2 linked regions of the Oryzias latipes genome follow. The protein of the gene in region 2 interacts with the protein of the main gene of each other region in a pairwise test. Links are inferred from orthologs where the notes say so. Each region holds a gene or a part of one and is shown on either strand. Other genes may lie near its edges.

Evidence for each region.
Region 1: the proteins of ube2w (region 2) and rnf26 interact in a two-hybrid assay, tested with the Homo sapiens proteins (2 studies listed by BioGRID and IntAct). The link is inferred for Oryzias latipes from reciprocal best matches to the Homo sapiens genes UBE2W and RNF26.

The regions. Positions count from the first base shown.
Region 1 is NC_019871.2:16,451,279-16,455,489, forward strand, and holds the start of rnf26 (E3 ubiquitin-protein ligase RNF26), read left to right. Parts: upstream 1-1,365; 5' UTR 1,366-1,742; coding exon 1,743-3,086; 3' UTR 3,087-4,211. UniProt on the Homo sapiens protein: E3 ubiquitin-protein ligase that plays a key role in endosome organization by retaining vesicles in the perinuclear cloud.
Region 2 is NC_019878.2:16,091,598-16,095,158, forward strand, and holds part of ube2w (ubiquitin-conjugating enzyme E2 W), read left to right. Parts: intron 1-2,094; coding exon 2,095-2,197; intron 2,198-3,561. UniProt on the Homo sapiens protein: Accepts ubiquitin from the E1 complex and catalyzes its covalent attachment to other proteins.

The sequences.
Region 1 (4,211 bases), on a different chromosome or scaffold from region 2:
TATTTCTTTCTCACTCCATGCATCTGCTCCTGGTCCGGCCCTTCTATTCAATTTTAGAACCCTATGTTGCCCAAGAGTCAAAATAATTGCCCACCCCTGGATCACAGTTATTTTTAGAACGTAACTCCTGTAATATACGAGGTAACTCTGTACTGGTGAAAAGGTAACGCAGATATATGTCCAGCTGCAGCAGAAGACATAGAAATGTGCTTTTTTCCTTACTGGATGAGAAACAGAGAGCTGCAGCCCTCAAAGTCTCAGCTGGTCTGAGACGGAAGAGGATCGACTATTAATTGTTTTTTCTTTTTAATGTATCAGTCAGTATATTTTTCCTGACATTTTGTCTTTGAAAATCACAGAGAGAGTTATTGGTCATTTTTTGTTTCATAAATAGTGTTATTTATATTATTAAAGAGATCATGAATTAATAAAACTTTATTATAGGGCTTTACAATAAAAAAAATATAAAAGAAGTTTTAAGTTTTAAAGAAAAAGACTTATTGTGGCCTTCACTACAAAAATGTTGGGGACTTCGCTCCAGCATCCATGTGGTGTTTGAAGATTTGTTGTTTTTCATTCTTACGATCATTTAAACACCACATGAATGCAGCATTCCTCAAAGTTTTACATGAGGTACATCAAGCCATTGGTGCAATTGGCTCTAAAATGAGAGCAAAAGTTTTTAACCTAAAAACTTTAAAATGCTCTGTTTTAAAATATAATTTTCAATCCAAATGTTTTCATCCAGATTCCATGTTATTTCTTCCTCACTCCACGCATCTGCTCCTGGTCCAGCCCTTTTATCCAATTTTAGAACCCTATGTGGCCCGCGAGTCAAAATATTTGCCCACCCCTGCTCTGGACTGTTAAAATTGTATTCCTCTCCTTTCCACTGTCCTTTTTTACATAATGACAGATACAGTTTCATAGGCTTATAAAGGCTTTACCGGAAGCATTAAAAAAATTACATCTATTTTATAGGTTAAAGACTTAACTTGTCTGCACATTCAGATGGCCTTGATTCTACTACAAGATACTTGTTTTGTGGAAATTTCATTTTTTACTGATTTAAATAAAATTAAATTTTTTCTCATTACCAATCAGTTTTATGATAATTAAATAAATCTGCATCACGTTAACTAAACACTTGGATTTTGTGATTTAAAAAATGACTATATTTTATTGTTTTACTTTTTGTACTAATATTTTATTACAGAGAGAAAACGCTGTATTTGTAATAACTAAAATGTATTCATTTTTTTAATCTTCTGCTACTACCTTTTTGAAGTGTGGTTTCCTTTGTATTTTGGTATTGTTGATTTTTTTAAATAAAGTTTAAATGCTTCCAATTCACCGGAACTACACGAGATCACGTGAAACGAGCAAAACAAATATGGCGGTCACAGAGAGAGTACCATAAAGCTAAGCGGTCATCCTTTTTGCGTTAATTCTCATTTTCTAGTTGTTTTAAAAACATTTTTACTGCCATATGCACGTCGCTTGATGAATACGAGCGTCCTCGCGCCGCAGAATCGACCACAGAGCAAAACCGAAACCAAGAAAATGAACGGAAGTGTCAGGCGTTCGTTTGAAAACAAACATCCGGCTTTGCGTCGCGTGCGTTTTTGTGTCCCTGTTAAGAGATGGACAGACATGAACTCTTAGGTGAAGGAACGTCTGTGATGTTCGTGAACGCGGATAAGGCCGCGGGGCGCCGCAAGCTTAAATAAGGACGAGCCGCCATGGGTTTTGTTAACTTAGTGATAACTTCAGTAGGAAAATGTCTGGACGCGGTCTGCTTCCTTCTGGACCTAAACTTTCTCATGGTCCACACGGTGGTCCGGACTCTCCTGACTCTGCTTGCCTTCATACACAGCGTGCCCTCCCTCCTCATCAGTTCGGCTCTGCAGCTGGGGAACCTCTGCATGTACTGCGGCATGTGCGTGGCAGAGGCATCCTCACACCTCGCCCACGGCTCGGTCAGCCTGCTGGGTAGCGTGGTCCTGGCCCTGGAGGGGCTGCTGGAGAGCCTGAAGATGGTGGGTTACCTGTCGATGCACGTGCTGCTCAGAGGAAAAGAGCACCTGTACCGCAGTGTGCTGTCACTTCTGGAGGGTTGTGGCATTGCTCTCAGCCTGGTGGTCTACTTCACCAATACGGTGGTGAACTTTGTCCTCATTGCCACCCACAATGTCTACTTGGCAGCAGTCAGTGTGTGGCAGACGGTGTCCAGCCCACTCCAGAAGGTGGTGGAGCTCGCTCTGACCTCCATCACTTGTCTGTCCAGCTGCCTGACGGGAACGTCAGCTTTCCTGTGGTCTCCTTGCAAGCTGGTTCTGGACTTCCTGATCTCCCTGCTGCATATGTTCATCAGTATCTTCATATTGAACATCTATGGCCTTCTACTCACCGTCACTATCGCCTTGACTACCACCGCCTACCTTAACCCAGGACTGGTCCATCAAGCCTTTATTCGCCTCGTGGAATACATGAAGTCTTTTTCTGTTTTGCGGGGATTTTATCGGGCTGTCCATCGCTGTGTCACGGCCCTGTGGAACACTCGACATCTGCTCCGCCGAAACATGCAACACCTGCATAGGTCTCTCCGTCACCTCCAGCTACTGCAGGCTGCCATGTGGCAGCAGCTGTCTCAGTGCAGCAGGCAGCTGTGCCGTCTTCTGCGAACGATGCTGCACAGGGGCAACAGAGTCGGAGGCGACGGCGACCCCGGAGAGAGGAGGCGGGACCCGCCGGACGGGAGAGCAGGAGGCGGGGACCACCGGGAGCTGCTGGATTTAGTGTTTCCCTCCTCCAGCAAAGACGGCCCTTTGAAAAAGCTGCTGTCTTCTGGAAAGAAGCGTAAACATTTGCCTGCTGAAAGCCTACTGACTTTACTGAAGGAGCAGGAGGAGAGGAAGAAGTGCGTGATCTGTCAGGATAGCACCAAAACCGTGGTGCTGTTGCCGTGCCGACACCTGTGCCTGTGTCGAGAGTGCACAAACATCCTTCTGAGGCAGCCCATCTACCAGCAGAACTGCCCTCTCTGTCGTCACATGATTCTCAACACTATGGACGTGTATTTATAGGGATCAATGATCCGTGAAAAGCCTTACAGTATTTACAGAAATAGAAAGGAGTAACGATAAGCCTAAGAGTAACACCAACACTGTTCTTATGTGATATTCAATCTGTTCTTTCTCCATAAAGCTGTAAATCTAAAAAAAAAAAATGTATCTGTAATGTTTTATTTTGAAGGTACTCCTCAATCTTAAAGGGATCAGTGTTAAAACAGATCATAGTGGATACTTGGTATATCGCTTTTACTATTTTAGATGTGAAAAGCAAAGAAGATTTCCAGACTCTTCTTGCAAAACTGGGTAAAAAGCTGTGGAAACTAAACTCAAAAGTTGCACATACTCAAAACGAATGCCAAAAATCTGCAGTCTAAGCTCCATTCTGCACATTTGATACCAAAATGAGACAAACATTGATTAACACGCATAGTAAATCTGTTTTTATAGACCAGAAGTGTGTTTTTTTTAATGCTGGGTAGTGCTGTCACTAACAGTCTCATTTGGATTCTATTTTTTTTTTATGTTTCTTTTGTTAGCTTTCTTTTTCGACGTTTATTTATGGAATAATTCTATCTCTAAATAGTATTTTTACTTGCCCTGCATTTAAAATTAACAATGCTCTGTGCATAGGATACACATGTACCGTTGAAAGTATTTTTTGATTTTTTTTTTCCCACTTTTAACCCTCATTTCCATATTAACCTATTAACATTGCATCCTAATGCTGGTTAAAGGTAGTTAGCTTAAAATCTCTAGTACTCAAAGAAAAGTGAGGCATCCTTTTCATATTTTAACCCAAGAAATCTACCAATACAAATGGAACATACCATGTGTGTAGCAGGGTCGTACTAAGTTATCAGAAGTGCAAAAACGCTAAAACTGTGTACACAAACATTTTAGAATAAAAATTGTGCTTTAGGTTTGTGTTCCTGTCACTCTCATTCTAAACAGCTGCAGTCTTTGTTGTTTCACTACATTGCTGTTGAGTCTCAGGTGTTCTGATCCATGTGTGCCCCCCAGAAGAGCTGAAGCGTTTCCCACCGCTCACATCTTAAAGCACTGAGTAAAGGTGCCATTTTTATCTGTTCCTATCACAAACCTGGCAACCCATAAGGAGTTTCGAGTTTTTCCCTCTGA
Region 2 (3,561 bases):
GAATGAGTCAGATTAAAGGCTTTGGTTTTGACACTTCATGCAGAATTGACAGATTCTGGTGGTTGACTCTTAGGATGATGATGAGAAATTACATTAACCCCGTCTCAGGCTAGTGTTCTTAAAATGATGAAGGAAAATGTCAAAATCTAAATAAATTCATTTAATTCATAAAAACAAAAGCAAGTAACTATTTTAAATATCTACAAACTCCACTGTATTTAATAGATGAATTGAATACATGTTGTAAGCGGAAGTATTTTGTAGTAGTTTTAGTTTAAATCAAAACTGTCTTTTCCATGTTTTCCTGCTTAGTGACAGTAAACTATATTATTTTCAGAAAAGATACTTATAAATGCTGAGTGAACATGTTTAGTTGTTTTAAAAATAAAATTGATATGTTTTGGCAAATTACTTAAATAACATGTTATGCAACTTCTAAAAATACATGCTAATAATAAACTATCATTAATAAAGTGAAGTGGTCAGTTAGAAAAAGTTGTTTATATTAAGGGATGTTTTTCTGCTTCTGTTGTTGTATTCAAAGAATAGAGAGAACAGATTACAGTTCATTCAAATGTATTCTGTTGTATAGTAATTTTGGACCTGATAAGGATTTTGATGATTCTTTATTTAAACCATTTTTTTAAATGTTTTTTTGCATTAAAATCTAAACTAAAAGTAACTTCAGGGTTTTTCTCTTTTATTTTTTTCTACTAAAATCTATCAAATGTTTTTATGTTTAAGAGAGAGCTGTAGGATAGTTATCACTTTTGTTGGGAGATGTTTTTTTTTAAATAAATGTTATGACTTGCACAGCACTTATAAAAGAACGAGCAGCCAAAGTGCCGAACACAGAAATTAAATATAAATAAAATCCCTAAACAATAAAAGAAAGAATAATGATAAAACGATGAAAGCCATGAAGCATTACTAGTTAACCGGTTTGTGTGGTCACATATTATTTTGGCCACTTTATCATTGCTGCGTCACTGCCACAATCTTTTCCACCATTGTTCTGGCAGTGTGATGCTGAAGGACAGCAGATACTGCAGAAAGTGACCTGCCGGCACATTTCAGCCGTGATCCTGGCGTCTGCGTCCCATGTTCCATATCTGGGTACACGGGACTGCTTTCACAAAACGAGTGTCAAAGATAAAAGGGGAGTGTGTTGTCCCCGAAATGTTAAATGAAGGTGAAGAAAGCTGCAAACTCCTGGGTTTTTTCCATCACATGGAGATCAGATAGCTTACACGTGATACAAGAAGCAGTTTGTGAGGAAAAGAACTGTGCTTGATGTCTGTATGTTTTTTAATTGTTTACAAATGGAATTTAACCCAGGATAAAGAGCTTCTCTAAAGTATGTGCCGTCTTGCCTCCTTTTTGGTTTGCATGTCATAAAGCAGAACCAGAAGATTATGAAACAACTTGTCATTCTATACTGACCAAATGTTTTTCTTGCAGCAACTAAGACTAAATGTCTGATTTGATTCTTTCTATCATATAAATAAAGTAAATGTTTAACCTCTTTTAAGTCTATCTTCATAAATTCTTTGTTCATTCAAGGAGGGACCACTTGTGTTTAGATGCAGTTCAGAGTGAAATCTTTTCTATAAAAATTCTATAATTTTTTTTAATAGAATTTAAAGAAATGCACTAAAACATTTTTCTGGGCTAATGTCGATTATCTATTCAAGTTGTAAAATGTATATTTTCCTTGTTATTGCCAGATAATTGACTCAAATACCTGTGTGCTCATAACTATCTGTTGCATGAAAGCCAGCTAATTTAATAACCGTTGATTCTACCTTCTAGCCATAAAACAAACCATCTTACAACTTCTAGTGGATCAACATTTTGGCCAGCAGCTGTCGGTGAGCTGCCCATTTTAGAGGCTGCTGTTGTTTATGGAAACCTACTGAACATTCCTCTCCTTTATCTATTGCTTTATTGTTCCCTCAGTGGGGGTAGAAAGCAAGTCTGAAGACATTCTGACCATATTTTTTAATCGCATCACAGATTGGATGTCTCGTTAATGCTGCTTTTATTTTGGTGGGGTTATTGAATCCTGTTTTTTGTCTCTTGCTTGTCTTTTAGGTGGATTGTAGATATGGAAGGAGCGCCTGGGACTCTGTATGAAGGAGAGAAGTTTCAGCTACTTTTCAAATTTAGTGGTCGATATCCTTTTGATTCACCCCAGGTAAGCACGGCCCCACACGACCCTGAATGTGAGACTTTCTAGAGCTCTTTGTCCCGTGCAGCTGGAAAGGTTTAATAATAAATCAGGTTCTTTTTAAGAACTAGCAGCTAGACTGAGTGTCTACGTTTGACGGAACTATTGGAGGCTTTGAAAGATCTCTATTCAGACAAAAAAAGACAATAACATAAGGATAAACTAAGGCAATTGCTCCTTTTCCATGGCTGATAAGAAGTTTTTCCTGTTTTAGACTAAAGGTTCTGCAAATCAATGTGAGAAATGGAGGTAAAAGTTGTTTAGTACCTGTACAGAGCTGCTTTATGGGTGGTGTATTGGTCACACTCTCTTGTTAAAGGAGCGTGCTTTAGAAACAGTGGAGCTTGGATTCAGTCAAATAGTTTCACTCGACTGTTTGTTATGCTAGTCAATTTCTTGACCATCTAAAAATCCAAAATTCCGAACTAAAACCCAACTGAGCTGCTTGGACACAACTCTATTTACTGTAAGGCCAGACTGTCAAAGGTCGGACAGGTCAATACTGTTCGATGGCGTTCTGTGTTTGTGTTCGGTTGCATCAACATAATCAGAGAAAATGTCCCTTACTTTCTGGGATTCTCCCCAACATGCTCATAAATATGTTGCCTTATAAAACTGACCTGATCTATTGATTTTCTGTTTTAGAACCACCTGATGTTAGACTCTAATGAAAGGATTTCTTTGACGTAGTTTACTTCTATAGATGTTCACACTTCTCATTTGCTGCCAAAGCTTAAAGTTAAACACTTCAAAATCTTCACTCACCACCATCCTGAAATTTCTCGACATCTTTCGATTTCTAGACGTATTGGCTAATTTTGTTCATAGATTGCTAGTTTTTGAATAGCTTTTAGGTTTTTGGATTAATCAATCTTTAGTTTTGTGTTATGTTTGCTTATAAATAAAGCTGTTCTTGTTTTTTTAAATCATTTTTTTATTTTACCTGGAAATAATTTGTAATTTTAGATGTTCCTATCTGCCTTGTATTTTGCTCTCTGTGAGTGAAGGATTATACATCTTAACCCCAATCTCAGCTCTTTCTCTGGTGCTATAATCTGGATTATATGGACATTGATTACCTGTTTACAAATCAGTAATAACGTAAGAAGGCTAAAAGTACAGTCTTCCCATATCGAATCAATCGTACAAAACAAAGAAAAGCTCTTATTTTTAGCAGCATAAACCATAATGTAAACAGTGAGTAGAAGCAGCTGGAATGAGGAAACTCTTTGCCATATTTTCACTGCATTATAATCTTTCTGCCTCCTTTACTGACCTTTTATATGAACAGCTGATCTCTTGAACTTAATCCTATAGCCTAATGTTTCTCC